3 linked regions of the Drosophila melanogaster genome follow. The protein of the gene in region 3 purifies or fractionates together with the protein of the main gene of each other region. This does not show direct contact. Each region holds a gene or a part of one and is shown on either strand. Other genes may lie near its edges. The genes, in order: Mtr3, Spt6 and Rrp4.

Region 1 (9,511 bases), on a different chromosome or scaffold from region 3:
CCAATGTCCTCGCCCATGGCGATCAGGGCAATTCCCAGCACGGCGATCGATTGGGTGGCCGACAAGTCCTTCTCGCGTTCCTTTTCCTTCTCTTTCTCCTTCTCCTTTTCCTACAAAGTTAACGAATTGAAGAAATTAGCTGAAGGAACTAAAAAACGAATGGCGAACTGCGGCATTACCTTATCCTTGCCCTTGTCCTTCTTGCTCTTTTCCTTCTCGTCATCGGCACTGGACGTCTCGTAGTGATCGGAGCAGATGTGGAGCAGCTGTTGGATCTTGAGGACGTTGCCAGTACCAGCGTATGCGCAAATGTCCACCATGGTAGTGGCCATGCTGCGGTACGGCTCTTCCAAAACCTCCAAGGTCATCATCACGGCTTCGGTGGACTTTTGGCGGCCCAAGTAAAGCAGACCCAGACCCAAAAACAGGAACCTCGTGTAGGTGTCCTTCAGATCGGCCTTGGTCAGACCCATAATCGTCTGCAGCAAGATCTCGGTGATCTCCGAATTGCACGAACCAACACTGATGAGACCCAGCGACAGAGCCGTAATACCCAATATCTCCACGCTGGCCGAACTCTTGTTGTTGCTGCCAAACGAGAAGACCGTCTTCAGGGTGTCGATCACAATGGAGCGATTGGAGCCAGCGTAGGCGATGCCCAGACCGAGGATGGCGCCAACGCGCATGCAGGAGTTCTGGTTGTCGATATAATCGGAGAGCAGAGCATGAGCCGGATCGACTTCGTTACGGATGCCGCAGTTGACGATTCCGCAAGCCAGCAAAGCGCCGGACTTGATGTTGTCATCGGTGGAGTACAAGTACTTATCGATCATGGTCAGACCACCATCCACATCCCACAGAAGTATCAAACCCAGCGATGCGGTGGCCGAGAGCATGCCGTGCTCCTTGTTCTTGTACAACCATTTGTTTCCGTCTTCCGACAGCAACTTGTCCACACCGAAACCGGCGTTAACAAAACCATTTACAAAGCTAGCGGCCAGATTTTGCTTGGCAGAGTCTACCTGGATGGATGCAAAGCGGGAGCGCGAGTTGTCCAAATGCGACTTGTAAATGTCCTCAGGCGTTTTGGGCTCCATGATGTCCAGTTCGCGAGCCAGATTGAGGAAATGCTTGTTCAGATTAGCATTCGACATGATCTCCATGAGATCATCGTAGTCCGGCACCAATTCATCCAGCTCCAGGCAAATCTGTTGGCGGGCCAGCATAAAGGCCAGCTGCTTCTGCATGGCCGGCTCCTTGGGCTCCTTGAAGATCTCACCGATCTTGTCCATATCGTTGAGCATCAACGCCAGTCGCATGGCCTGTGTGTACTGGTTGAACTTGCGCGACAGCTGGAGCGCGGTTTCCAGGATAATGGTGTTGTCCGGGTCGGGAACATACGGATAGCAGGACTGCAGATAGAGACAGACGCGGGGATAGGCCGACTCGTCCACAAAGTCGCTCAGCAGGTGCAAGTGATCGATTTCGATCAGCAGATCGCAGGCATCAGCCTCGGCATTGTGCTCCATATTGTACGGGATGATCTGCTTGACCAGTTCGATGAGCTGTACACGAAAGTCTCCCGTTGTATCGTGATAGTGGGCCGAAATTTCGCCAGACAAATGACGCACATACTCATGGCCCCAGTCCCCGATGCGCTGCTTGCGATCGCAGAGGAATCGGTAGGCCAGGCAATCCTTGCCGCTGCCCATGGTCATCGAGAGCACTGAGATGATGTCGGCGCACAACTGGCGAGCCTGCTCATTGGGCATGTGCTTGTACACCGTCTTCATGGTTTCGTAGTGCGGGCGCATGAACTTCAAAGGCTTGGGCACCGAGGTCATCGACGTCGTGGAGGCTCTGATCAATTTGGCCATACTCTCCAGCGTCGGCTGGTAGAGCTTGGCATCCGGCTCCTGCAAGTGCTGCACCAGCAGCTCCAGCTCCTCCTGCAGCTGCTGGTCCTCGTCGGAGAGCTCCGGCTGCTGCTCCTTGTCCTTGCCGTCCTTCTTTTCATCCTTCTTGGCCTTCGGATCCTTGGCATCGCCTTCGGATGCCGCCGGCTTCAGCGGCTTCTTCTCCAGCTTGGTCTCGCCCGTCATGATTTCTTTCCTAGCTTGTCGGACTTAAGGGATTTAATTGGCACTACGTTTTCTTCGATTGTAATGCGGTTTATGCGGCTTTGTTCCTTCTTTTTCGTTGTTGAAACAGCAGAATTACACAGCGCTTTTTGCAGTGTGACCGCGCGGCGAACGCCAGGCTATGCCGCGCTAATCTGTTTAAAATACCAGAATAATCAGCTACCGTTACCACGAGCTGGTAACGTTCAAATAGTGATGGCAGTGACTTTCACCTTATCGATTTTTAGGGGCCTTGCCAATCAAAATTGAAAGGTTTAGAAAGTGAAAGAAAAAGCTAACTATATTTGTGTATGTGTATATATTTAAAAATGTTGTGATATGCAGATATTTTAAATATCCATTTAACTTCCGGCCTTTGCAGTTGTATTAGCTGTAATTCCTTGATATCAACGGAGATCGTTTATATTTTCAAACATGTTGGGCTACTTATGACACAATGCGTTATTTTCTGGCCAAAAAACTCTTGTCTGCTTTTGCTGCGGAAGTATTTGGTGAAGTAGCGAGTCCCAATATGCAAAAATGGGTCTCTTGAAATTAACTGATCTAATCTGATTTCTTCAGAAATTGGTTGATGGTTGGTTAGGATGTTAATGGATCTCTCTAGTTCCAACATTCATCCTGCGTAATATCTTCGTGAGTTTAGGAAAAACATTATTTCACTGACACTGATTCATTAGATGAATTCTCGGCATCTCCTACAAAACTGTCTCCGTCATCGGACCCCAAAAGCTGTGAATTTGAGAAATCCTCTTGATCCGAGGTATTGTGGTTCTAATTTTTTTCTCTCTTGACTTTCATATCAGCAGCAATGGCAGAACTTTTGGTCCTGCAAAAAAAGGAATCAGTCGTCAGGTGTATATAATATTAGAGATATGGGTTTCAAACTATGAATGGGTAACTCCGAAATAATGGCTATTCCGCATGGCTTTTACTTGTCTTGAATTTTCTTTTAAGATAATACTAAAGCTAGCCTCGCAACTCTTCACTGAAATTCAAAAGTAAAATCTATAACGCGGGCATATATCCTACCATCAGTATTCTATTCCGCGACACACTATTCCAGGCCTGATGCAAGGCCATCCATGGCAGTGCTTCTTGTCGGCCATATTCCCAGAAATCTCTTCAGTCTGTACCGAGTGGATTAGCGTTATCTTAAGCGTTGTTTTACACTTCGGCAATCGATTTTTCTGCGATTATATTTAAGCTCTTTTTTCTCTTAGTAACAAAGAAAATACTACTAAGTTATCAATTATCAGAAGGAATCAAAACATTATTTAGACTTTATAAATAATTAGCACAATTAGCACTAATAAGAAGACTTATTTTAGGTTCTTATTATTAAGGTTCTTTGAAGGTTTTCATTCAAATACGATAACCCACGAAACGATACAGAATCGGTATAAAATATCGAAATATACAAAAATACCAGATTTGTATTTTAATCGAAAACTTAAAAGTCTTTAGACCACATGTGAACTCAGTTTGTTTATTTTTATATTCAATCAAAAGATATAATATAAATATGCTAGCGGTGAACCAGACGAAGAACACCCTACTCGATGGAGCCTCCATTGAGGAAGAGCCGTACACAACTCCGCAGGAAAGCGAGGATTTCTTTGAGAGTCTAGACAAACCGTCGAGGGAGCCAACACAACTGGCACCCAGAAACACCTGTTAGAAGTGCACATCCTTATTTGTATTTCAATTTCTCATACCTCTTGTGACTTACAGTCATCCGCGCCGGTGTGTTGACCACAGTGAGAGGTTCCGCCTACATGGAGTATGGTAACACCAAGGTTCTGGCCATTGTGGCCCCGCCAAAGGAGCTAATCCGCGCCAGCGCACGCAGAATGAACATGGGTGTTCTGAATTGCTATGTGAATTTTGCGGCCTTCAGCACAGGGGATCTAGATTCGGTGCCGGAACGGGAACGCCACCTGAGCAGCATGCTGACCAAGGCCATGGAGCCGGTGGTGTGCCGCACGGAGTTCCTTAACTTTCAGCTGGACATACGGGTGCTTATTCTCGACGATGACGGCTGCCTGCTCAGCACTGCCATCAATTGCTGCGGAGTCGCTTTGGTGGAGTGCGGCATTTCCACTTACGACTTAATTACGGCCTCCACAGCTTGTATCTATCGGGATCACGTCTTCCTGAATCCCAGTGCCAAGGTTGAGGAGCTGCTCTGGAAGCATCGCAACAGCAGCACCGATAGCACAACCAGCCCATCATCCGCCCAGGAGCACGGCCTGATCATTACCGCCAGCATGGATACCTTTGAACAGATCGCCCAGTGCCAGCAGTGCGGATATCTCAGTCCAGCCACCTATGTAAAGCTGCTGGATTACACCCTGGCCATTAACAAGTCCCTGAGAGAACTAGTCAAAGGCGTGCTCACGAAGCGGGTGAAGGAGCAGCACGAACTAGATCTACGCGAGAAAGCCGAGACCGCTCTAGAAGATCAGCGTTTGGAGGAAATAATCGAGAAGCTAAAGAAGCAAGGACCAGAGGAGTTTATACAATCGAACATCCGGGAGGATCCCTATGTAAAGAGGCAGTAGTTGGTTGAGAATAAATCATACTAATATAAATCCCAGATCTATTTGAACAACAACCACCACTTAAAAAATGATTACTACAAATATTTAGAGTCCAGATAAAACTTTTATTCGTTATTTTTGCACTTCCAAAGTTCCGAATAGCTTCGAAAATAATAACATCAAATGCGTAGCGCGCTTCAAAACTTTAATTCAGACTTGTATCTTTCCGAAAGTGAATTTGTAGAACTGTAGTGTATCTAGCAATTCTTAAAATGCCTTTTATCTACTGCTGATCCGTGGAGGCCTCAAGCACGGCTCCGGAGTAGGCCAGATCCCAGTAGTGTTCGACCTGGTGCTTCTGAAAAAACTCACGGGCCATTTTTTCCATTGGAAAGATCTTAAACTTGATCTCGCCAAAGTGCCGTCGCTGACTAGTCCCCTCCCAGACGAGTACGCATGAGTTCGGCACGTCCTGGCCGTCATTGCCCTTGGCGTTGTCCTCCTCCCACTTAATGCGCGTTAGCATGAGCCTGCGATACTTTTTCTGCTGCTTGGGCCCACCCTCCACGACAACCACACAGCAATCCCGGAACAACACCACGCTGCCGGTCATCTGCAGCTGCTTGGCATTGGTCTCCACCTTGAATTTCTTGCTCTGGTTGTCCTGCAGATCTCGTATGCGATAGACGCTGACATGTACACCGCAGCTGGTGTCTTCCCTCAGCTTGCGCTGCTTCTTTTCGCTCTTCTGCTCGCTGGTCAGCTTGCGCGCATTGTTGGCATCTTCGTGCGCCTTCTGCCGCTTGGCCATCTGGTCGCGCACATGCTGCTCCATTTTGGTCGGATCTTGTACGGCCTCCGAGCCAAGCACACGCATCAGGTTGGATATGCGCAGTTTCGGCTCTGGTGGGGCCACCAAACCCAGTCGGATCTTCTCCTGCTCCTCCTTCCAGGCCTCGCGACGGTTCTGGCGACGAAGCTTTTTGCGCTCTTTCTTTGTGAGGAAAACCGGCAGATACACTGGTTTCAAGGGCTCATCTGAAGGAGTAGGTGGTTAGTTGCTTGTGGGACATGTTCTAGCTTTCAACTTACTTGGCGGCTTCATTTGTGTGGGATGCTCTATAAGGTTGGTTATGGCTGTTTGGCGTATGCTTATCTTACCGCTTGCGTCGTCTACCGTCTCCAGATCCTGGGTCAGTATAACTGAGTCCCACCACTCCATGGCAGGCACATCGTCCGGCATGTCCTGCTTGGGGGCAATCAATGCCAGTTTGGTGGCCGACGAGATGCCCGTTTTCCGGGCTATTTGCGAAATCTCATTCTGTAGTCGCTCCAGCTGGCTTTTCATGCGCATTCGTTCGGCCAGCTGCTGGAACTTTCCGGGCTCGTGGAATCTCAACGTCCTCTTGGTTCTAACAGTGGGCTTCAGGGCTATGCGGTCGTCAAAGTACTTAATAGCTTCTTCCTGGGCCGAAGTGCCCGATTCACTCCGTTCACCCAAACCCGTTTGGCGTTGGAACACCTCCCGTTTCTTGGCGCGTATGTTGGCTTTCAATGTAGGTGTCACCGTGGGAATATTAATGGTACGTCCGCTCTTGTCCACAGTGCGTCCTTCATCGTCCAGAATCAGGGGTTTGGGTCGCTCCTGCGCTTGAGCAGCAGCTGCAGCGGCGGCCGCTACCGCAGTGGGCTGAATCAAACTAGCCAAATTGCCAGTAAGCTTGGCCCTGATCTGTGCCTGCAACTCGGCAATCTTCCTGGCCTTCTCCGAGTCCTCGGGCGTGGGCTTCTTCGCCAGCGCTTGAGTGGCTAAGGCAACTGGCATTCCGATCGATGGAACTGACGCCAGCAGCGGATCCTTGTCTCTTAGATTACTCAGGGCCCGCTTGCGTTCCTCGATCTCCCGCTGGGCATGGGCCATCATCAGCTTGATCTGCGTGGAACTCAGCGAGGCGGGCACGGCGACCTCTTCTTTCTTCTCACCACCGCCGCCATTCTTTTCCGGGACATCGAAGCGGGATTTCTTGGGCGCTTCAAGGGCGCTTCCACCACCACTTTTGGAATCTGAGGCGGCAGCGCGCTTTTTGGACAATTTCTGGTCGTCGCCATCCTTGCGCGTGATAATGGACGACATAATTCGCAATTAAATGGGTCGGACTAAAAAGTAAATGTTATTTACCAACTGCTTGGCACATTCCTTGAGCTTAAATCAGCGATTTGCAATTCAAAAACAATACACAAGGTTTTTGGTCTTTGGTGAAAAATTCTCCGAAACACGTTAGGACAGGGTCGTTAAAAAAACATAAAAGTCAGGGTTGTCATGTCGCCAGTGTGACCGTTTCGCTTTCTTTTATCGGGGTGCAACCCTAGTTCTCTCACTTTTTGTCGCTCTCCGCTCCGCCATATTTGTTGAAGCCGCTTACAATTGACTATTTTTTTCTCGTCGTGTCTGTGTGTGCTTAATTATTTGTTGTGGAAATTAAGACAATTTCGTGTGCTCAAACAGTGTAAAAGTTGCATTCGAGTGCTACAATGGCATCGGAGGAAGAGAATGACGATAATTTCCAGGGTAAGTGCATTGTTTCAGTCGGCCAAATGTCGGCGTGAAAAAAACTCGGTCCGACCGTCGCTCGGTCAGGCTAAGAACCGTGGTCATGTTCAAGAGCCGCAAAGCCGCGCAGCGTGCTGCGTCCCCCTCCCATTGTTTATTGTTGCCTATTATCCTAATTGGTCATTGTCATTGCTGTACCTCGTTATAAACTATTTGTATTACAGCAATTGGTGAAATTTGTACATGTGTGGCGCGTTTTTTTGGGGTCTTTTGCGCCTCCTCCATTCCACACATATTTTTTATTGCATTTTTGTGTTCCCTCCATTCGCGAATGCAGGCAATATATAGACGTCCTGCTCACTCATCAAAACATATGTTTTACATGGTTGTTTTGGTCGAAAGTTTTGAGTGGAATACTCTGTAAATCCTTTAAAATTAAGTTTTATCTTAAGTTCTTTAGCAATTAAGATGTTTACTTTACCTGTGAATTGTCAAGTGTCAATTGTAATATACGGAAAATTCATTTTAGTTCACACTTATTGTGGTGTTACCGTATATGCAGTGTTATCATCGGCTGTGCAATGGTATCACCAGAAAAATAGTGTGCCCCTTTTGGAGCTAGTCGAGAATGCCCAGACGGCCTCATCTGCCACCATTTACATTCATTGTTGCTTGGACGTGGCAGCCATGACGTGATTTCTGAGTTTTTGTTAAAGAGATTACATTATTAATTGTAGAGAAAACTGTTAATTAAGGGGAATACGTGCATTACTCGCCACCGCCTACCGATTGCCAGTGTAAAGCCACAAATCCAGTGCGTAATATATCCAACTGAAGGAAAAGCGAAAAAAGAATGATGAAAAGTGTGTGCAAAAAATAAAAACCTGAAATTACCACAAAATATGCATATATATATTATAAATTGTGTAAGAAAGCAATGCAAAAAGAAAACGAAGCAATATGTGCATATATCTAAAGAAACGAAACAAAGATGCGTGGAATATTGTGGAAAATCTTGTCGCACTTCCACTGACGCACATACATATGTGATTTTTTCCACTCCCCCTTCGCCGACGTGCTCTCTTGATTGATTTCTCCACTCTCTCGCGTACTTGCGTCTCTGTGTGTGTGCGTGTTATGCACGCGCGCTCCAGCCAAACGTCGCCGTCGCCCCGTCTCTGTCGCTCCAACGTATATGATAAAAAAAAACTCACAGAAACCCGACGCGTTTAAATTAAATTTAGTTAAAAACAACAACAAAAATATAGCTACCAATGCAATCCTACCGAAGTGCCTGCAAAACAACTAAAGTATAGTCTTTTTAACGAGTTAATCAAAATATGCCAACACACAAGTAAGATGAAGAAGGAGAAAAGTAGAGTGTGGAAAAGAGACGATGCCAAGGGATGGGATGGGAAGGTGCCCGTCTCGCGAGGAAATTGCTGGAATGTAGTAGTAGTTCATAGGAAAACTGATAAACAATATGCCGCCGCTGTGTAACAAAAAGCAGCAGTATCCATAGCCACCCCAATTTTGCATACAATTTATGTTAATTCGTTCGCAGCTGTTCCTCTTCTGTCTACAGGCCTCTTCTCTCTTCTGTCCCTGCCCTCATTCGCCTCTCTTCTGCTTCTCCGTTCGACGCTGTTGCACTGTGGGCGTGTGTATGTATATGTATACGGTGTGCGTGCGTGAGGAAGTTATCCTAGAGAAATAGCGTGGGAGTAGAATTCAATGTCTAATTTTAACACGTTCCCCTCCCCGTCCTTCGGTGCTCATTCTAATTGGATTCGCTGCCGTTATCCTTCGATACATCGATAGGAGGATGCTTAATTCGCTCTGTCTTTTCCCTCACGTTTGTGACGTCAGCCAACGTTGGTTCTTCCCCATTTTTCTTCTTCCTAATTTCACCATTTGCCGGTTCTGTGATAATTTTTATGATTTGCTGCGCTATGCTGTCTTTAAAATTGTTTACTTTAACATTGCCATCCGATTTCCGATTACTCTACCACAAGTAAACAATCAAGAGTAATGCGACATCGCATAAATTACAAAAGGCTAAAACGATGCACATGTATGAGTGCCACTATTTATGCAGTAATGCAACAATAAAAGGGTGTGAGAGGGATAAGAAGGTTTCGGCAATGACGTATGCATTTTTCCTACGTACACAGCAAGAAATACGCAATGGCATTTGACACCGTTTCAATGTTTCATGCAATTAAAGCACATATCGATCAAATGTATTAATAATAATGACATTCATTACCGCAACTTTG
Region 2 (13,379 bases), on a different chromosome or scaffold from region 3:
TGTTGGAAAGAGGGTCAGGCAACTTATCGATAACTCCGCTCTCTCGCTCACGAGAGCGAGCGAGATAAAAGCAGTGCACATATGCACTACGCATTTTGTTTTCAATGCCCAATTTTGCGTATTGCAGCTAGCCAATTGATTGGCCTTCATGTGTTAAATACTCTTGTCAATGCGAAATCTCATTTCCAATAGACTAGACAAAAGAAACGGTCACTTTAAGTGGCAGAGAGCGAAAACAAAGTAACCTACCGCCCGAGAGTGAGCGAGAGAGCAGGCGACGACTTTCCAGTCAGCTGCCTATAAATACCAGCGTGGGGCTGCGAAACGAATCATAAACTGTGAAAAAGTCGTAGAGAGCGGACGTCCGAGCAAGTAAAATAAAAGCAAGTTTTTGAATATTTCAAAAAGTGCAGACCAACAGTAAAGAAATAAATTAACTTTTGTGTGCGAAACAAGAAAATAAGGTGAGTTCAGTTTGGCAATTGCTTAATAGTTTTTCTTAGTTGCATTCAAAATGGCGATGCAGCAAGCAGAAAACGGTGCTTTCCATGCTTCTATCTATGTGTGTGTGTGTGTGTGTGTGTGTGTGTGTGTGTGTGTATGCCCAGTTCCAGGGGATTTTTTTTAACGAAGTTAGAGATTAGTCACCAAAACTAAATTTGCCATTTCATGGCGAAATAATGCAAGCTGTGAAAACATTAACGAAAAAACCAATAATGTTTTCTGTATGTGTATGCTAAAATACTTTTCTGGGTCACGGGAATTGGGTCACTACGCAGAAAATCAATTTCCTTCCACTTTCCATTACTCAAGCCAACTTTTTCCCTTTTTCATTTCTCCACTCAGGCAATATGCAAATTTTCGTTAAGACCCTCACTGGCAAGACCATCACTTTGGAGGTTGAGCCATCCGATACCATTGAGAACGTTAAGGCCAAGATCCAGGACAAGGAGGGAATCCCCCCAGATCAGCAGCGTTTGATCTTCGCCGGAAAGCAGCTGGAGGACGGACGCACTCTGTCCGACTACAACATCCAGAAGGAGTCGACCCTTCACTTGGTCCTGCGTCTGCGTGGTGGCATGCAGATCTTTGTGAAGACCCTCACTGGCAAGACCATCACTTTGGAGGTCGAGCCATCCGATACCATTGAGAACGTTAAGGCAAAGATCCAGGACAAGGAGGGAATCCCCCCAGATCAGCAGCGTTTGATCTTCGCCGGAAAGCAGCTGGAGGACGGACGCACTCTGTCCGACTACAACATCCAGAAGGAGTCGACCCTTCACTTGGTCCTGCGTCTGCGTGGTGGCATGCAGATCTTTGTTAAGACCCTCACTGGCAAGACCATCACCTTGGAGGTCGAGCCATCCGATACCATTGAGAACGTTAAGGCCAAGATCCAGGACAAGGAGGGAATCCCCCCAGATCAGCAGCGTTTGATTTTCGCCGGAAAGCAGCTGGAGGACGGACGCACTCTGTCCGACTACAACATCCAGAAGGAGTCGACCCTTCACTTGGTCTTGCGTCTGCGTGGTGGCATGCAGATCTTCGTTAAGACCCTCACTGGCAAGACCATCACCTTGGAGGTCGAGCCATCCGATACCATTGAGAACGTTAAGGCCAAGATCCAGGACAAGGAGGGAATCCCCCCAGATCAGCAGCGTTTGATTTTCGCCGGAAAGCAGCTGGAGGACGGACGCACTTTGTCCGACTACAACATCCAGAAGGAGTCGACCCTTCACTTGGTCTTGCGTCTGCGTGGTGGCATGCAGATCTTCGTTAAGACCCTCACTGGCAAGACCATCACCTTGGAGGTCGAGCCATCCGATACCATTGAGAACGTTAAGGCCAAGATCCAGGACAAGGAGGGAATCCCCCCAGATCAGCAGCGTTTGATTTTCGCCGGAAAGCAGCTGGAGGACGGACGTACTCTGTCCGACTACAACATCCAGAAGGAGTCGACTCTTCACTTGGTCCTGCGTCTGCGTGGTGGCATGCAGATCTTCGTTAAGACCCTCACTGGCAAGACCATCACTTTGGAGGTCGAGCCATCCGATACCATTGAGAACGTTAAGGCCAAGATCCAGGACAAGGAGGGAATCCCCCCAGATCAGCAGCGTTTGATTTTCGCCGGAAAGCAGCTGGAGGACGGACGCACTCTGTCCGACTACAACATCCAGAAGGAGTCGACCCTTCACTTGGTCTTGCGTCTGCGTGGTGGCATGCAGATCTTCGTTAAGACCCTCACTGGCAAGACCATCACCTTGGAGGTCGAGCCATCCGATACCATTGAGAACGTTAAGGCCAAGATCCAGGACAAGGAGGGAATCCCCCCAGATCAGCAGCGTTTGATTTTCGCCGGAAAGCAGCTCGAGGACGGACGCACTCTGTCCGACTACAACATCCAGAAGGAGTCGACCCTTCACTTGGTCCTGCGTCTGCGTGGTGGCGCCATCTAGATTTTTTCACCCTTATAAAAATTGAAGTTAGTTAGTTGTGCCACAGGGCATAACTCAAGAATTCATACTAAGTTTTAGTAAATTGGTTTATTCAAAGGCACAAAATAATCAATCACAATAATTATTGGTATTCGAAGAATAAAATTTTCAATTTGTGTGTTCAATGTAATACTCTATGTAGTTTTTATCTGTGTTTCCCAGGGTTTTTAATTTTGTGGGGGATTCTTGATAGAAAGTTGCAATAAACATTGGATGGCGTTGGAGTGGTGGATTTAATTTGAATATTTAAATTTGTAATACTCTATTGTATTTTACTGGAATTGTACCACAGGTACATTGGAATTATTGCTTAGGTACCTTATGTGGTATATTTGGGGTATTTTGTGTGACCAGCTGACTCCAACGAAAAGTGGAGCCGGCCACACTGGAATAGTCCGAAAACCTGTTAGCTTGCGTTATTTAGTTAAATTTGCGGAGAAGAGCAGGCAGGCGCAGTCAGGCAAGATGAGCAAGGAAATCCGTTTGGCCACCGTCAACGAACACAACAAAGCCACGGATCTGTGGGTGGTCATCGACAACAAGGTCTACGATGTGACCAAGTTCCGTCTCGAGGCAAGTGGCGATGCAGATTGTTGGTTTTAGGGGGGGGTGGCGAATCCATCTAATTCGATGCCCTTATCTCCAGCATCCCGGTGGCGAGGAATCCCTGGTGGATGAGGCCGGTCGCGATGCCACCAAGGCCTTCAATGACGTGGGTCACAGCTCGGAGGCGAGGTTAGAGAGTCCATCTTATAGCCAGTGCGCCTGGATCACCTGATTCACATTTCTTCCCCACTTGCCTTTTCAGAGAGATGTTGAAGAAATACTACATTGGTGACCTGGCTGCTGCGGACATCAAGAAGAAAAGCCCAATTAGGTGAGAATCCTGTCCAGCAAGTGCATGCAAAGACCCAACCAAGCCAAAATGCCATATCATCATGTAAATAAAGAAAGCCCTGCGGATTTCCCTTCTCCGCTCCCACACGGATTGATCTCCTTATCTCGCTAGAACACCAGTATTCCTGATAAGGCATTTCATCATCATCATTTCGTACGCTCCACTTTCCTTAATGCATGAAGCTCCTATTCCGACCACAACCGGTTTCGCATGAGCATGGCCTGCGTTTCAATCAATAAGTACAATTAGCCAACTCTTATGTAATCCATTAATTGCCTCGAAGCCCCCAAAGTTTCACGCTTCACGTGTCCTGAAAGTCTCTATTTCGTACACTTTTTGGTGTACTACTTTGATACCCTTTGATACGATTGGATACCCTGAAGAAGATAATGATGATACAGAAGTGTTCCTTAAATTATATCAATTATTTATATTCCCATATAGAGTATCAACTTTTTCTTTACCAACCGCTAACAAAGCCACAATACTTAATATTTAATGAATCTAATGAATCTCAACTTGCATGTATGATATTTGCTCCATTCAAGATTTAATTCCTTCTCAAGCACGAAAATAAGGTTCTACAAAAGCTAGTTGGACTTGTAAGTTCTAACCACTGACCTGTGTACATATATTACCCATCATGATTAACCCAAAGCACACGTCAAGCAACTGGAATTATGTACATATATAAATGTGATAATCTAGAATACCAACAATTTGCACGCTGTAATTGGTCACTCTTTGGTTTTGTGAATGGCACCCCACCTTGACTTGCGTTTTTATTTTGATTCTTGGTTCTGTGCCTTGGTAAAGTGCCACGCCTACTGATGCCGCCGCCACCCCCAAGCAATGCTGCATCCTAAGTTAAATCAACCCCTCTAGAAATGCCTGCAAAACCGTGTAATCCTAGCTAGCTAACCAAAGTGCACCCAGTTTTGTTGTTGTGACACCCAGTCGGTCGGAGTGCCTTATCCTGACCATGATACTCCCATTGATTTAAACCGCCTTTCATATTCTCTATTCCATGCAACAGCTGCCGTCATGTGGCACTGGCCCTGGGCGCCGCCTTCATCGGCATCTCGCTGGTCTATGTGATCCGACGCGGTGTGGCCAGAAACTAGTCTGCGGCCGGACTGCATTACGAGATTCCAGATATATTCCCCCAATTTGGGAACATCAATTTCCTCACACATTTGACACGAAATAAATTGTACAAATTGCTTAAATTACACAACTCGGGCGTTTTATTCATAAAAGCTGCGGATAAAACCAATCTTGAATTCCCATTAGTAAGAAGAGCTGGCGGTATATTTCTGGTCAGAAAAAATTGAAATTTATTTTTCATTCTTCCGTCGTCACAAACCTGATTGCTCCCCGGCCCACCGGCGTCTCAGCTCCTGCCCAGCCGTTCTACTCCTACTCCCCCACCGCCAGGTGATGCACCCACTCCAACGGCAGGCGTTCCGCAATTTTCAATTATACATAGATAATATATATTTATATATGTGGTGTGAACTGCGGATCAGTTATGGACTTGACTTAAACCTAAATATCGTTGAGGATCAATGCGGAATCGCACTCCAAAGTACTAAGATTAGTGCAACTGGATCTTCGCCAGCTGCGCGTGCATGAATTATATATAATTGTAGACTTTTCTGTTCTGTTCGGTTCTGTTCTCGTTTTTGTAGTATAGTGTATGTATATAGTAGCATATGGTGTGTGCATAGTGCATCCTTTGCAGCTTGTGTTGGTTTTCGGTTTCCATTCACTTCGCCGCCCCTAGTTCTCGTCGTAGAGGGGCGTGGCATCGCCCAGATTCATGGAGTGCGGCGAGGCGTTGGTGCGCGGCGTACTGCGCACAGACGCCTTCGAGGACATACCCCGATTATGACCGCCTCCGGTGCTGTAATCATTGACAGGCGTCGATCCATAGCCACCTCCTCCGCCGCCACCGGTGCCACGTCCCAGTGACATTGTAATGCCCATGTTCATGCTCATGCCCATATGGGGTTGCTGCTGCGAGTGATGATGCTGCTGCTGGGCGTGATACGACTGATGTGACTGATGCTGCTGCGGTCTGCGTCTTGCCCAGGCATCGTTGGCCAGCTGCCAGTCGAGGTTCTCTTTGGCACGTTGCTGGTGATGCGGCTGCATGCTGTAGGCATTGGAACCACCACCACCACCAACGCCGCCACCGCCTCCTCCTCCCATATCGTGATACCTGGGCGTGCTGCCCGTTCCGGAACTGCTGCCGTAGTGATGCCTCTGACTGCTCGATGATTGCGAGCTGGGACTGGGCACATTGTGACCATAGCGAGGCGTCTGTGAGGCATGCGGCGTGTAGGGCGTCATGAACGGAGTCTGTCCACTGGGCGTGTATGGCGTATTGATGGCGCCAAACGACGGCGTCGATGAGCTGCCATAGTGGGAGGAAGATACTCCAGCCCCTGGAGCAGAACTGCCCGACGTGCCGTAGCCAGTGATGGATTGCGTAATGGAGTAGGCGCTGGAACCGCCACCGCCGACGGCACTGCTGATGCCACTGCGCGGCGTTCCACCAGTCACGCTGCCAGTGACGCTGTAGGGCGCCTGGGGGCCCAAGGAGGTCTGGGATGACGACGAGATCGTCGGCGGCGGACGCATCAAGTGCAGTGGCGTTAAGTTGGACGCCGAGGCGCTGGCCGGCGTGGCCGTTGGATCCAGCCAGTGTTCCTTAAACCAACGCAGCAGACTGTTAACCGTATCGAAAATCTGGCCACGGAAACGATAGCCCTCCGGCATGACCGTCACATACTCGTGACGCACCTTCGTCTTGGGCAGATAGGACAGCAGGAACTTGCCCGGCATGGCGCGTGAGGCCGTAAAAAAGTAGTGTATCTTCTTCGGATCATTTGCCTTCTCCTCGCGCAGCAACTTTTCCATGACATCCCGTTCATTTTCATCGCCGGTCACCATGTTTGGCTTGTAGTACTTGTACTGTATCAGTTCGCGGGCAGCCAAGGCCATCGGCATGATGTGGCGGGCGATGATCTCGTCCAGATCCTCGAACTCCTCGGTGCCGATCCACAGACTTCTGCCCAGGCTGAAATCGTTCTCTTTACCCTCCTCGCGCACATCGATGTGCTGGAAGATGTCGTCGGCCACCTTCCAGGTGGCTGTCAGATGGTCCTTGGACTTGCTGCTCGGACGCAGGGCCACCTCGCCCTGATCGGCCTCCGCTAGCATGGCCACCACCTCCGCGTACGACTTGTTGAAGAAGCTGGGATGGGCGATTACGCGACGCGCGTAAATTTTGCGCTTCAGAGCCCTGGCCTTGGCATCGCTCACTTTCCGATTGTCCTGCTCCTCAGTCACATAATCATAGTAGTTGTCGCGACGCGGCCGCCACTCATTGTTCACATCCTTAAGATCAGCGGTCCTCGAAGAGCATTCGACTGAGAACCGGTCAATGTCTATCTTAATGATGCGAACATGAATCATCTGTGAGACGCGCACACGTTCTTCGGGATTGCGAACCTGTCTATCGGACAAGTTCTTGATGTGTATAAAGCCAGGCAGGCCGTTCTCCAGACGCACACGCACACCAGATGGCTGGCCAGGGCACGCGTTCGCGTCAAAGTGATTCCACACCTCGGACAGCTCTGGGAAGTCGTCCTTGTGGCAGAAGGGGCACTGCCAGCTTTCGTTGGAATCTAGACGCACCGGATTTGCGCTGTCTAGCTGATCGCCCTGCGGCCGACGGTAGGTGAAACCGGTGACCATGGCCGTGACGCACTTGCCCACATAAAACGAGTCGGGCGTCTCCTTGGTCAGCATATCGAAGAGCTCCTCCGCACTGGGCTTTGTGTACGGAGTGCGGTAGTCCTTGTACAGGCAGCTCAACTCGTTCCTTATGTCGTACAAGGTTATGCTCTTGCTGCCGAATCCCTGGCGCTCCAGTTCCACAGCGAATGCGTCCAGATCGAGATCCTTAAGGCGCTCTGGCGACTCGAGAATTTCCTCAAGGGCACCGGCCGGATTGGTCTCCTCGTCGTCGTACTCCATGGCATCGATGGCCATCTTTCTGGCCCACTCGTACGTTTCTGGATGCACACGCGACCCGTCCAGCACCTCGACATACGCCTCTGTGCTGTCGCCCAGCGATGAGGTATCGATCTTAATGAAACCGCTGCAGTTGATAAAGACCCTGGGCCCCAGATGACACACGGTGACCAGCTGGGTGCGGTTCTCCAACCGCTGGTTGCTCTGCTTAAGAAGTTTAAGTAAAGCCTGACCCTTGCGCGGACCCAAGCCACAGATGTACTGCAGCAGGTTGATGGTCCGTGAGTTCTGCACCATCAGGTTAATGTCCAGACCCACCTCGCTCGTTCGATTGATAAACTGCAGGCTGAGCTGCTCCAGCAGCTGTTCGCGCGGCACACGCTCCTGTAGCGGATGGTAGCGCAGGCAGAGAATCTCGTCGTCCGCATCACACAGCTGTGAGTATTCCACTAGCGGATCCTGCATCTTGCGGGCCAGCGAAGCAGCCTGCTTCAGCAGAGGAGGATACTCCTTAAAGTCAGACTCGCCCTTCTTCGAGTTGGCATAGATCTTGGCCAGCTCGTTGTCGATTATCTCCACCTCGATGGGCGGAAATTGTTCGGAGGTCTCGAGTTCATGCAGAATCTCCTTAATGTCTGCCTGGATGTTCTGGGCATCGCGCGATTCCGCTCCGATGACAACAATGTGTGGCTTCTTCATTTTGATAAAGTCACTCAGCTTTCGAAGGTCGGCCAACTTCTGGGCCTTCTCCTCAAGGTTGTAAGAATTCTTGCGCTTCAGAATGTTCGGCAGTCGCAGGTAGTCGGAGATGTCGCCCTCCACGGTAGTCACCGCACAGAAAGCGGCCACTGAGTGATCGGGATCGTAGGCCAGACCCAGCACCCGTATGCCCCTCAGCGTGCTCCACTCCTCGTAGCCAAAGTCGGGGGGCAGTTGCGGTTTATAGGGTGCCACCTTTAGCCACTTATACAGCTTACCCGTGCAGGAACGCAGCACAAATTGCTGAGCCTCCTCGTGCAGAGTTGAGCGCAGCTCCTTGATCAGATCCGGAATGACCCACTTCTGCAGCGCCAGCTGTACGCATTCCGCCCGCAGCTTATTCCACTCCTGCACGTGCTTGGCAAACTGATCCAGCTGGTACAGGGCCTTGGACTCTTCCACATAGTCACCGGGTGTTCCGTTGGCACACGCATTGCCCTCGAACTCCTCGAGGAACGTTATCTCCAGCAGCTTCTCCTCCTCGGCCATCATTAGCTTTATGAATTGATCGCCAAATAGATCGCTTACCGGCTTCTTGGCCACGTACTTCATCGAATACACCGGCGAATTCTCATCGATCAGCACCATGCCATTCTTGGTGGGCCGTATGTTAATCCTAGCTCTGTCGAAATACACCTCACGCATGGTCTTGCGCAGCAGAGGCTCTTGTGCCAGCTGTCGGGCCACAACGTATTTTGCGGCATGGATAACCTCATCCGTGGTCATGAAGCGCGGCGACAAATATTGCTTGGCCAGCTCTGTGGGACCGATGCTTTCCTGGGTGATCTCATTGCGCTGGTAATTGTCGCGCAGATTTTCGGCATACTGCTCCGGCGTGAGACCAAAGTGTTTGGCAAAGCCGCAGATGCCCGCCTTGCGGAATACCGCATAGGGACTGCTGTTGGACGCCTGCTTTAGTTGGTAATCGATCAGCTCGGGATCGTCATCGTCTTCCGGCTCTGGTACAACTATCGCCTCGGCCGCATCATCACCGTTCTCAGCGGCGGCTGCCTGGCGACGCGCCTTGGCCTCGCGACGCTCCTGTATAGCTTTTCGTCGCTGCTCCGCCTGCATGCGGGGCAGCTCATGCGAATAGTTCAGCAGAAAGTACATGTGCACGTCCTTTAGCTCCTCCATCGACTGTACGTCGGCGAGGCGCTCGAAATCGCTGTCCAGGATGAGGCGAACATCATCCGGTACGGGTTGATCTGTGTCGGCGCATAGCGTGTCCAGCTGGAACTGACGCATCTTTTCGAAAAGCACCTTTAGCTTGCGCTTTCGCTCGTTTAGCTGACACCAGATCCCATCGTAGTAGTAAACCTTCCAGAGATCGTCGATATTAAGCTCTGGCTTCACATACTCCTTGCGATAGAAGGCTATAAAGGGCACCTCCAACTGCTGGTTGCGTATAAATTCTAGCGTCTGCTTAATCTTGTTAACGGTTGTCGGTGGTTTGCGCATTTTCTCGCGGCTCTCCGGCTTTTCCTGTTCCGAAACAGTGTGCTTGCAGAAGGCATATTTGTAGATCCATTCAGCCTCGAGGTCCAGCTCGTCTGATCCCTCGGGCACCGGGGTTACGGGCACCTCTCGCAGCTGCATTCTTTCTGGGATGTCTGTCTTGCGAATCTCGTTGTCCATATCGGTGAAATGACCACGCTTGAGCTCGCTGGGCTCGTATATGTCGAAGATTGTCTTCTTGACCACCTTCTTTTTGAGCGCTTTCTTCTTCTTGACGCGCGTATCATCGCCGACGCCCAGATCCTCATCGTACTCATCTCCTTCCGAGTCATCTTCGTAGTCGTCTTCCTCGTACTTTGAGAAGTCGTCATAGTCGAAGTCTACGCCAAAGATGTCCTGACCCTCTTGAAGTGATCTGTGGTTGGATTATATTAATCGTATCTATTGATATCTAAACTTTATTATAGTTTGTATACTTACGCGTCTGTAAAGATGGGGCGCCGTTTCTTCTTCTTCTCGGCTATGGGACGCCCATTATCGTCCACAATGAAGTCATCTGCGTCCGACTCCGTATCCACGTCGTCGTAGTCGTCCGCCTCCCTGTGACTGCGCTCGCTGCGATGACCAATGCTCTGTAGGATCAGGGGCAATCAGTTGGACACTGTGCATTAATTGGTGGTCAGGGATTACTAGTGGCATACCTCATCGTTCTCGTCGAACAACTGCTCGGCAATCTGCTCACGCACCAGACCCTCGTCCACGTGCTGCTCCTCGCCATCGCTTTCGTTGTCGTGGATGCGACGCAGACGCTTGAACCGCTTCTACAAGGGAAAACATAATTTCAAACAATATATTTGAGGAGATAGAAGCCCCAATCCCTCAGCTATGTTATTCTTTGTTAGTTAAGCTTCGAAATTGGAGCCACAATTGGAGTTTAAAAAGTACATAGTTCTTCCCTGAAGGGAACACCTACCCGTCTCTCGACTTTGACGCCCAGATTCTCCTCGATAAGATCGTAGTCGTCGTCCTCCAGTCGATCGTCCAGATCGTCGTCCTCGTGCTTTTTGCGCTTCTTGCCGCTGCCGACGCCATCGGAATCGTAACCACTGCCATCGTCCTCCTCGATGGGATTGTCGTCGATCAGATCTTTGAGCTCTTCGCGCAGCCGTTCCTCGTCGTCTACGGAATAGGGCAATAAGAATATCGGTTTACCTTTTACCTTCATTGTAGCCGCAGATATACATATGCAACTGAAAACTGTTTTTAAAGCTTAAATTTAAGTAATTCACCCGGTTTTGAGAAAGACCTACATTTGATAAATTACCTAGATTTCGATATAGATAAGCCCTAACCATTGATTATTCCAGCTCCATCTATTGAACTAATTCTCCCTCCCTGCTTTGATTTGCAATTTCTTGGAATACGCCGCGTTCTTCCAATTCGCCGCACTTGTTTTATTTACTGGAACGAGCGCAGCTGTTTGTTGTTGTTGCTGCTGCTATTGCTACTGCTGATGCTGATATTTGATGGCCACGGTAGCACGGTAAAAACACAAGACCTAACCTCAAAGTTGTAAACAAAAGAAGTTGCAAGCGTGTGGCATTGGCCAGTTATAGGTGCCTTTATCCCGGATATGGACTGTTCCGATCGATGGATGGTGAGAGGGGTGAAAAACCCGCCAGAGATCGCCACATACGTATGTATGTATGTATGTATTTGTACGCGCCTTCAGCGGCTCCAGTGGAAAAACTCACCTTCTTCTTCTTCGCTACTATCGGAGACGGCCGCCTTCAGTTTCTTGAGTCTCTTGCGCTCGTTGACGTCCAATTCTTCCTCCTCCTGCGGGAAAAACGAAGAAAAGCCATTTGGTTAATTCAATATATATGTAGGCACATATGTATGTACACACACGCAAGGCGCAACGCACACCGCACACATAACGACGCACGAACGGTACGCGCTTCTAGAAATAGTGTTTTTGGGGTTCCGCAGACACCTACCTCCGATTCCTCGGCCTCGGAGTCCAGAAATTCGGCCATAATATAATGGAATAAAGCTTAACTTAATAATAAAGTGCGTATTAATGCAGAGAAACGAAGAGTTTGTGAGCGTTTCTTCCTCTTCTCTTCTTCTTTATTTCTCATCGCATTGCACAAAAGTTGGTATTAAAATACTAGCTAAATACTAAATACCACGAACAGTTTTCTACTGTTTACAGTACAGTTTGCTGTTAGCTTACAGCAGTGTTCTCGCTGCCAGCCCTGGTTTGCATTGCAGAACTACAGTGGATCCTTCCTATAACCTATGGTTAGTTATCCGTTTTCATGTGCTGACAACAATTGGACAAGAATTTTGCACACATACTTGTATTGATAAGCGGGAAAATTCCCCTATATGGGAACACACATATGCCCTTTGGTCTCAACGATGAAGTTTGCTAATTTCCATTATAGTCCATGGCATACTTCCTTTACATAGTTGACTTTTATGAGTTCTTACCGAAAAACCAACACTAATTGTAGCGCATAATAATTTCTCTCAAAAACTAGTGGTAAACGTAATGAACAATAATAATAATAAGCAATAAACAAAATTCGCAAACTTGTGAATTAAAAGTTCTTTAAAATTATTAGTGCATTTGGTATTTTGTGTAGCTTCTAAAGCCTTATTTTTGCTGGCTTTCCTTGTCTTCCCGTACACGGGCACACTTGTCGCGCTGCAGTTACATTTACTGCTCCGCCGTCTCTGGGCACACTGTATTGTTGTTGCTCGACGAGGAAATACTATTAGTATTTTTTTTCGTTCATCCTGAAAGTTTAAGTGGACGAAACGAGCGGCGGCCGACTCGACACCGAGCCGAAATTCAGAAAGTCTATTGCTTTGGTCGAGAACAGATTGTCAGGGAACTTCACTTCATTTACGCTCCCAAACAAACGGCAAAGGTAGCATTTCCAAAAACGAATTAAATCGAAATCCAAATAGAAATAGAAGTAGAATTAGAAAAGCCATAAGCGCAAGTTAACGAGACAAGACAACAACAATTCGATTCGGCGGTTTTTGTTTTTTTGCCAGTGTGTGTTTGTGCTACGCTGTGAGTGTGCATTAGTGTCCGGTGCTCCTGTTGTTGTTCTTGTTGCTGTTGTTGTCGCTTATTGTTGTTCTTGCTGTTATTGTTGCTGTTGTTCGCAAGGCACAATAACACAGGCTCATACAATTGCGAATATTTAGAAAAAGCAAAGCATATACATATGTGACAACAAACGCCAAGGAAAAACTGGAAAGCTAAGCAAAGGAAAACCAAGAAAAAGAAAACAAACAATTGAGAAATTAAGAAGCGGCAACTGAAGCAGCAACATGGACATATTGAATGAGTTCAGCAATGTATTCTGGAGTACGCACATTTGGCTGCCGCCGAACACAACCTGGGCGGACATTGCGCCCGGCTCGCGTCCAGATGTGGTGCACGCCAACTACAAGGACCTCATATGGCCCATTCCATTCGCCGCTGTTGTCATGCTGGTCCGCTACACGCTGGAGCGGTAAGTTTTCCACGTCCATTTTCCCCCCTCCGCACTCTTCCCAACCAACTGACTGACTCCCTTTCCATTCTCGCCATTCCCGGCAACATGATTCCATTCCGCCTCTTTCTCTAACCCCATTCATACGGCTTTCCCTCGCTCTCTCCCGCTCTTTCTCGCTCTCCTTACCATTGAGTAAGCCCACCG
Region 3 (9,025 bases):
CTAGGAAGCTACATTTATTCGGGGAAGTCCGTGCTTAAGCCAAATAATAAGGTAATATTCGTGGAACACCCCTATATGTTTTTCGCTACATAATAAATTAAACGCCATAAATGTCTCTTTCCCTTAAAATGAACAATATAATGTTAGAGTTTAAATTTAAACAAAGGCGCCGAGGACCAGAACACCCTCTACAAATTAATCGATGGCCACCAATCGATGATTAGTGCTATCGACGAGCGGCCATCGCCGCTTGGCGGCAAGTGCATACACACGACTACATGCAATCGCAGTTTGTTTTCGCCGCTCAGAGCACGCTTAACCTCCGTTAATTGATTGATTAAACACGTCCGACTGTGAGCCATAAAAGGACATTCGCTCGATCGAAAGCCGACAAAAGCTGGCTGAGAAGCGCAAAACAGCTGCGCTGCGCAAAGTTTGGCCAACGCAGAGCAATAGAAAACAGAAGCAGTGTCAGAATAAAACAAGAATCAGACCAAAAAGGGCGCAACAACTGCGGAGAGAGAAAAGGAAGGAAAGAGCAGCGCGTGAGCGAGGGAGGAGCAGGAGGGAGCGAACAAAAGGCAAGAGGAAACACAAGGAGAAACGCAAACAATCAAAACAAGAACTTAAGCAAGAAAAGGGGCGCAAGATGACCGACGAGTGCGTAACCAGAAACTACGGAGTAGGCATTCGCAGCCCAAATGGATCGGAAAATCGGGGCAGCTTTATAATGGCTGATAATACCGATGCCAAGGGCTGTACGCCGGAGTCTCTTGTTGTTGGTGGTGCAACTGCAGCGAGGTGAGTCCATGTGCCTCGCTCTCTCCCTCTCCCATCTCTCTCTTTATGTTTCTGTGTTTTGTTATCAATGCAAGTACTGGCATAACTGCTATATCCTAGTTTCAAATGCAGCATATAAAGCTCTTTTTTTTTTATTTATTCCATTTTCATTCCACAATCTATTATTTTTATATTATTTATACTGTCTATTGCCAACATTTAAAATCAATGTGTCAATCTGTCTTTATAATGTTGTTAAAATGGCTGAAGTCACAAAGTTTGAAAGCACTTGACTTTAATTCTATTGTTCTATTTAGTCTTATTCACAAATATATTTGAAAATAATTACATAAATAAATACCCAATCATCGATTATTTCGCCGATTACCTTATCTTATCATGCTGCTTCCCAAATGGCTATTATAATTCTGATTTCTTTTTCCCCAGCCCCTTGCCGGCCAACAAGTTTGTGGCTCGAATGCCCGTGGAACGATATGCAAGCGAATACAACATGAGTCACAAGCACCGCGGAGTTGCGCTGATCTTCAACCACGAATTCTTCGACATACCCTCGCTGAAGAGCCGCACCGGAACAAATGTCGATGCCCAAGAGCTGAAAAAGGCCTTTGAAAACCTGGGATTCGCGGTGTCCGTGCACAAGGACTGCAAGTTGAGGGACATCCTGAAGCACGTGGGGAAGGCCGCCGAGTTGGACCACACGGACAACGACTGCCTTGCGGTGGCCATACTCTCGCACGGGGAGCACGGCTACCTGTACGCCAAGGATACGCAGTACAAGCTGGACAACATCTGGCACTACTTCACTGCCACCTTCTGCCCCTCGCTGGCGGGCAAGCCGAAGCTGTTCTTCATCCAAGCCTGCCAGGGCGATCGCTTGGACGGAGGCATCACTCTGGAGAAGGGCGTTACCGAGACGGACGGGGAGTCCTCGACGAGCTACAAGATACCCATACACGCCGACTTTCTCTTCTCCTACTCGACCATTCCGGGTAAGGAATATGATTAGGTAACTATTTTAGTGAATTTCACTAGCAATCTCGTCCTGTTAGGCTACTTCTCCTGGCGCAACATCAACAATGGCTCCTGGTACATGCAATCGCTGATCCGCGAGCTGAACGCCAATGGCAAAAAGTACGACCTGCTCACCCTGCTTACATTCGTTAACCAGCGCGTAGCCCTAGACTTTGAGTCGAACGTGCCCGCCACACCGATGATGGATCGCCAGAAGCAAATACCGTGCCTCACCTCCATGCTGACGCGCATACTGCGCTTCGGCGACAAGCCGAACGGCAATAAGGCTGGCTAGGAAGAGATCTCCCTTCGAAGAAGAACTTTCAACAGAGGTTGTACAACCATCGCCCGCAATCATTCACGTTGGATTCCAATTCACTTCAAGTTTAGTTTTAGCTGACGCGTGCGATTATCCCGATGGATATTGAAGCACCCGACTCCCTTTCATTCATTCCCCTGCCTTTCCCATGCCCATTTCGGCCTTATCATTGACGAAATTCGTTACCCATTTACCCACTAGATGACTTCCGTATGCATAAGCGAGACCTTGCCAATAGAAAACCCACAAATTTGAGATAAGATAATACAATGAAGATTTATACATACATACATACTTTTATGTACACGCAAACATTTATATTTGATATGAATAAAAATGAATTAAAAACATAGCAAGGTATCTCCCCAATTGAACGTAGATGGGTAATTTCGATCTAAGCAACTTTGTTTGAAGACAGGAGCTGTCTGGGCCAGATTGAGTACGTTGATATGGGAAATAAAAGATAACAATGAAGACTTGGTTGGCTGAATCAGTGAAATTGTACGAAACTTTAGTGGAATTCAAATTAGCATTATTAAGAGTGATTAATTAAGATTTTTCTCACTCTAATTTTATTAATTTCCTAAATTTTATATTTATTTCCTAATTTTATAATTTAGGAAATTAATAAAATTAACCAAATGATGATTTTTGCGTAAATATAAGTATCGAAGGAACTATTAATGCATTTAAATATGATCTCGATTTGAATTTAGCGCCAAAAACAACTGACAGCTGTCAGGGCGATCAGCTGTTGACGCACTAGTGTGCGTGTGGCGCAGTACAGTTGCCCCAAATCGCAGAAATTTTCATTTTTCTTTGCACAAGAGGAAAAAGGGAAAGCCCAATGATTAGCCAACTAATTGGGCTGTAACCTGGTCGCACTTTTCAAGGACATTCGGCTGGGAAAGGGAAGCGGGGCAGTTTGGAGCGGGGAAACTTAGCCAAGACGCCTCGCAGTCGATGCGGAAACCCGCGATGCGGCTTCTTAGCCAAGTTATGCGTGGCGCTGGTTAGTGCAAGCCAGAACCCATGGATGGAGCCGCTTACCTCGATCGCCGTGATGGCCATAATCTGCAGCGGCAGATTGGCGGTTGTTTTCACCCGCGGATTCTCCTCGAAAATCGAGGCCAGCTTCTGCTCGGTCAGACAGAAGCGGCAGACCCTCTTCTCGGTCAGCATGGCCTCGCGCACCTCCAGTTTCGCGGCCATCGGCAATTGGCGGTAATTCGTTCCGGGCGGCGGTAGAAACGCGGAATTTCACTTGCAAAGTGCGTACAGATTACAAATGAGAGGAAAACAATCGCTTGGCGTCGCTTAGAGATGTGCACTATGCAGATATCGATGTTTCTGTGTGAATTTTGCTAGCGAAACTTTTTGTTTTTATTTTACACAATCAAGTATTTGTCACAAATACAACGTCACACTAATATGGGATGACATAAAAATAAAAAATTTATGCCGAGTCCCTTTATCATCCAGGCAGAATCACTTTTCATTTGCACAAACCGCCAGGGCGTTGCCGGATCGCTAATGTGTGCTGCCACTCGGTGCGCGTCCTGGTAAAATATCGATATTTTAGCTGCTTTTTAACTAAAAGTAATTTTAAGTCGAAACTTTTAACTAAAACTAAAGTGCTATGAAAATGTATGTATTTTTTAAACGCCAATAAAACCTAACTTATATGCAATAAATGTTTTCTTTTTTAAAGAGTTTGTGTATTTTAGAAAACCTGACTTTTTATTAGGAAACCAACATTTATCATACAAATTCAGGAAATATCAAATGAACATTTTTATTAAACAGAAAGCTTGCGATAGTTTTCAGTGTATTTAAGATTTTAGCCCACTGATGCAATTTTGAAATCCACCAATTTCGAACCCATTGAAATGTTAATTTTTCATTTGACGGTAGAAAATACATTAACCTCTATTTAAGCTACTTGTGTATAAAATATATGTATATGCATATATACTACTCGTCCGCGTCCCTCAGACGAGCCTGCGTCTGCTGGCCGATGTCGTAGATGGCGTTCTGCTGGAGCAGCTCGTGGGCCTCGTAGCGCAGGGACTCCTCGTAGGCGTACTGGATGCTGGTGTCGTAAATCATCAGCTTGCACTTGGCCAGCGCGAGGATGGAGTTCCTCAGCCGGGCGATCACCTCCCGATCCGCGCGCGGCACATGCTCGTTCAGGTTCTGAGCGAATCCTCCCTCGCCGCCTTCCTCCTCCTGGCCCTTGGTCGGCGATATCCAGATGTAGCCATTGTTGCCCAGGATCACGGAGGCGCCGCAGGGCAGGTTGTGGAAGTGCATCTTGCGGCGCTTGACGAGAGCGGGGAACACCTTGACCAGGATGCCCTGCGATAGTTTTCCATACTTCAAACTGCGCGTGTACAGCGAAAGGGAGCCCTCCTCAAAGATGTTCTGGTGGCCAGAGAAGAAAGATTATATAGTTACTCCAGTACCAGCAAGTTAGGAAGTACCCACCTGGACCTCGGCAGAGATGAGATCGCCCTCGTCCAAGTATCGTCGCATCATCTGCTCGTCCTCCGCCGATCTCCGTCGTAGTTCTCCGCCTGGCAGATTCACCGAGGAGAGCAGTAGGATGGAGTCGAGCCGGGAATTGGTGTCCACTCGCCAGCGCTTCTGTTGCACCTCGCTGACGCGGGCCACCACCACGTCCCCGATCTCGCCCACATAGCGACTCTTAAGCGGGCGCACCGAGATCAGCTTGTTGACCTTCTGGATCACCCCGGCCACCGAGGACTTGATGTTCTCGTCCTCGACGAAGGTTCCGTGGCCGCGCATGAATCCCGCCTCCGGCATCAGCACTTCCCCCGGCGTATACACCCTCGGCTGTTCCTCCGTCTGCGCGGCCAGGTCGCGCCAGTCCACCCGGTCCAGGGCCAGATCTATCGCCGCGTTGGTGGACATCTCAGTTTGGCCAAAGCGAGGTAAACAAAAATTTAATTTTGAGCGAGGCAAAAAGAGCAACAGCTGGCAAAACACGCGCCACGCGGAACCGGTTCGGGTTCGGGGTTCGTTGCTGGTTCCGGTTCAAGTTCCATTTCTTCGCCGCAACTACAGTGCCTATCGGTTGCGGCGAATTGCAATTTTAAAAACCAATTTTGTTGAAATTCGAAAGTAAATGTAACGAAGACTTGCAAATTCTATTGCCTAACAAAAAATACATACAATCGAAATAAAATAAAAGTAAAGGGGATTAAAAAAAACTGTTAAAATCACGTTTTTAGTTTCCTTAGTTTTATGAAATAACATTTATTGTTAATGTGTATAATATATATGTCGAAAGCATTTTTGAGTTTGTCCTTAGATAAGCAGCATACAAATTATAATTTTAAAGAACAGCTTTGAAATAATTGCTCTGGCATTTCAATGATAAGTTATCTGTCTTCTTTAAGTTAGCTAAGCTCCATTAGACTTCTGAAACATTCATCATCTTGTTTCAGTTGGATTGCCTCAGAGCTCGCAGGCACATTCCCATCCGGAATAATATTTTCTAGAATAAGACTAAAAACTTGAAGTAGAAAATGCATCGGCTTCTGTTCCTAATTTTTTTGGCTCTCAAATACCAGAGCAATGCAATGAACTTTTCGCCATTGCCGAATCGAGTGATAGATGCTCCAAAGCACCTAAAAACCCGAATGATCCAAGTGCGAAGCTCCTACTTTGGATACTCGCTCGTCATCCGTCCAACCAGGTGAGATCTTATCCTAGGGAAGCTATCGATCCCAGACTGTGATTGCACTTGAAATTCCATGAAGTTCCTTCTAACAAAAAACTTCGTGATCAATGCAGCATCTTCGTGGGAGCTCCGCGTGCTCAGTCCACCTTGGAATCGCAAGGCAGCATTAATGAGACTGGAGCTGTCTACAGATGCCCCCTGGCCAGTGGATCCTGCTCGCATTACGTCCTAAACGACAAGCTAAATAAGCAATTCCAGTGGCTGGGCGGCTCTATGGATGGCGGCACCAAGGATACGGACAAGCTGCTCGTGTGCGCACCTCGGTTTTTCGTGCCGAAGAACAAGAACTATGGCCAAATGAGAGGAATTTGCTACTGGGTTCGGGACACAGTGGCAGACACTCCTCCGCTGAGCGACGTGAGGACTATCAGTCTAATCCCTTCGCAAGCAGAAGAACATTTCATGCTGGAGCTGGGGCTCAGTGCCCATGTGACGGACGACAACTCGGGGTTCCTGATCGGCGCCCCGGGAGTCCGTAGCTGGAAGGGATCGGTGTTAGTGCACCGCGGAGAAGATTTGGCTGCCCAGGGAAGCTATGCAGTCAAGATGCTCGATTCGTGGGATTGGGTAAAGAATCACTTCACATACGTCGGTTACGCCCTGAGCTCCGGATACTTTAGCAGCAATAACCGGACCAGTCTGCTCTACGTGACCACCGCGCCGAGCTCTGTCCTGAATACCGGCAAGGCATACATTTTCGACGTTGTGGGAGAGATAGTCCGTAAGCTGCATGTGTTTCACGGCGAGCAGTTGGGCGAGTACTTCGGTTACTCCGTGGTGGCGGAAGATCTCAATGGCGATGGACTAACGGATGTGGTCGTATCCGCGCCACTCAACGCTCTAGGGGATTCCTATGACGTGGGTGCCATATACGTGTTCATCAACAAGGGATTGGTGAGTTAACCGAATTCCCTATAATCGCCATTAGTCAGACTGCTTCTATTTCCCGCTTCAGTTTAAATTCGAGAAAAAGATAATTCGCTTGCCATTGAGCAGTGGTGCCCGTTTCGGAAGTTCGCTTTCTAAAGTGGGCGATATCAACCACGACGGATACAACGGTGAGTAATCCTCTGGGTATTCGATATAGTATCTCATTAGTTCACATGTAGACTTGGCCGTTGGAGCGCCCTTCGCGGGAAACGGAGCGGTATTCATTTTCCTGGGCAGCGAGCACGGATTGCGGGATGAGCCGAGCCAGCGACTGGATGCTCCTTCGCGGGAGCCGGGTCCATACGGAGCCCACATGTTTGGACAAGGCCTCTCCCGCGGATCGGACATAGATGGCAACGGATTCAATGACCTGGCGATTGGAGCGCCCGGTGCCGAGGCAGTGTATCTGTATCGCGCATATCCGGTGGTCAAAATCCATGCGACTGTGCGCTCGGAATCGCGCGCGATCAGGCCGGAGCAGGAAACGATTACGGTGACCGCCTGCTACCGACTGGAAACTACTTCCAAGGCGAGGCAGATGCAGCAGCAGGAGCTGACTTTCCGGATGACCATAGATGAGCTCCTGCAGCGGGTATCGTTTGCGCCCATGCGCACCAATGAGGTGTCATTCCAGGCGCAGGCCGGATTGAGCGGGAGTTGCCGGAACTTTTCGGTGGGGGTGCACTACACCGGTGGCATATTCACGCCCATTGATCTCGAGCTGCACTACGAACTGGCCAAGAAGATTCCCCATTCTCACGAAGCATTCTGCGAATCCTGCGCCGTTGTCGATCCCCTGGAGCCCAAGTATGCCACGGGGACGCTCAGCTTTATGACGGGATGTGCCGCCCATGTGTGTGTATCTGACTTGCAGCTGAGCAGCAAGGATGTGAAGTAAGATGAAATCTCGATCATTCGTGTGTGATTCCATCTAATCTAATCGTGTTTCTCAGTTCTAGTTTCATCTTTGGCTCCTTGGAAGTCCTCAGTTTCAGTTACGAGATTACCAACAGCGGAGAGCCCGCCTACGTGGCCCAGTTCAATGTGACCAGCTCCGCCCGTCTGCCCTTCGCCAAGGTTCCTGGGAACTGCAGGGTGCGGCACGAGGTCATGCTGTGCGATCTGAACGGCGGACGAGCGCTGGCCAGAGGTGACAGCGAATCCCTAACCATCATCTTCGATGTCACCCAGCTCAGTGGTCAATCACTTACCATCGAGGCAGCCGTATCCTCTGCGGGAATGGACCAGAATCCGAAGGATAACACGATGAGCACTACGATTAGCCTAAGGGAATACGCCGAGATCGACGCCAGTGGGTAGGATTGAATGGAAAATCATTAGATATTGGGCGGATACGACTAAATCAACTTGGTATTTCAGTGGTCCCATAGATGGACATATCGCTCTCAAGGAGTATCCCTACTCCGCGGAAGTTAACAACAGCTACGAGTTCAAAAGTCATGGGCCCAGCATCATAGATGAGCTCACTGTGTACGTTGATGTACCCATAGCTTATACAGTAACGGGATCCGCGGGGATCAAGTCCATCTTTAATATAAGCAGTCTACAGATGCAGGCCACCCACGGTTCCGAACTGGTGCCCATAAAGCTCTACGACCAGACTAACACTCTGGCTAAGGAGTACCCCTTGGAGGACTCCAGTCGAAGAGCGAACCGAAAGCGAAGGGAACTCCAGCAGGATCAGTATGCCATCATGCCGGATGTGAATATCAGCGACATACTGACCAAAGAGAATCTTCCCGCGAATCGCACTCTTGTGCTCGACTGCCTGCGCGGCAACTGGACCATCTGCGTCCGATCGCAAATGCGGGTGCAACTGAAGCCGGAGCAGCCCATTGACCTAAGGATAAGCTTCAAAGTGGACCTAAATGATTTCGTGAATACCTTCGATTACTTAGTCATCTTCACCAACGTTGAAATGTTCAAGGAAGGCGATTCCACATCAATTGCCCTCAAGCGAAACCTCAAGCCCAATGTGATCTTCAACTATTCAGAGACTCCACTGCCCATTTGGTACATCATTCTGTCCCTGATCGCTGGACACCTGCTGCTCGGTGCGATGACCTATATCCTCTACAAGGTTGGTACAGTGTGTATTCTGGAAATTTTTTCTAATGCTGCCATATCCTCAGCTTCGGTTCTTCAAACGCGGCAAGAAGGAGGAGCTCAAGAGATTG

The links.
Region 1: the proteins of Rrp4 (region 3) and Mtr3 purify together in Drosophila melanogaster (affinity purification with western blotting; 2 studies listed by BioGRID, with this or other methods). This does not show direct contact.
Region 2: the proteins of Rrp4 (region 3) and Spt6 purify together in Drosophila melanogaster (affinity purification with western blotting; one study listed by BioGRID). This does not show direct contact.

What each region holds. Positions count from the first base shown.
Region 1 is NT_037436.4:19,907,782-19,917,292, reverse strand, and holds Mtr3 (Mtr3), read left to right. Parts: upstream 1-3,577; 5' UTR 3,578-3,663; coding exon 3,664-3,814; intron 3,815-3,872; coding exon 3,873-4,702; 3' UTR 4,703-4,888; downstream 4,889-9,511. Other genes in the region: Rpn1 (regulatory particle non-ATPase 1), read right to left, coding at 1-110, 180-2,102; Prp3 (precursor RNA processing 3), read right to left, coding at 4,965-5,719, 5,774-6,815; Mi-2, read left to right, coding at 7,214-7,250.
Region 2 is NC_004354.4:6,266,221-6,279,599, reverse strand, and holds Spt6 (Spt6), read right to left. Parts: upstream 11,804-13,379; 5' UTR 11,694-11,803; coding exon 11,655-11,693; intron 11,494-11,654; coding exon 11,409-11,493; intron 10,834-11,408; coding exon 10,628-10,833; intron 10,476-10,627; coding exon 10,356-10,475; intron 10,287-10,355; coding exon 10,135-10,286; intron 10,070-10,134; coding exon 5,176-10,069; 3' UTR 4,616-5,175; downstream 1-4,615. Other genes in the region: Ubi-p5E (Ubiquitin-5E), read left to right, coding at 852-2,456; CG3566 (uncharacterized protein), read left to right, coding at 2,961-3,068, 3,142-3,230, 3,304-3,372, 4,430-4,517; schlank, read left to right, coding at 13,009-13,193. UniProt on the Drosophila melanogaster protein: Histone H3-H4 chaperone that plays a role in maintenance of chromatin structure during RNA polymerase II transcription elongation.
Region 3 is NT_033778.4:23,551,074-23,560,098, forward strand, and holds Rrp4 (Rrp4), read right to left. Parts: upstream 5,145-9,025; 5' UTR 5,066-5,144; coding exon 4,619-5,065; intron 4,556-4,618; coding exon 4,106-4,555; 3' UTR 3,945-4,105; downstream 1-3,944. Other genes in the region: pita, read right to left, coding at 3,182-3,343; Dcp-1 (death caspase-1), read left to right, coding at 650-801, 1,228-1,790, 1,851-2,107; ItgaPS5 (integrin alphaPS5 subunit), read left to right, coding at 5,683-5,852, 5,951-6,791, 6,853-6,955, 7,007-7,721, 7,781-8,143, 8,208-8,928, 8,981-9,025.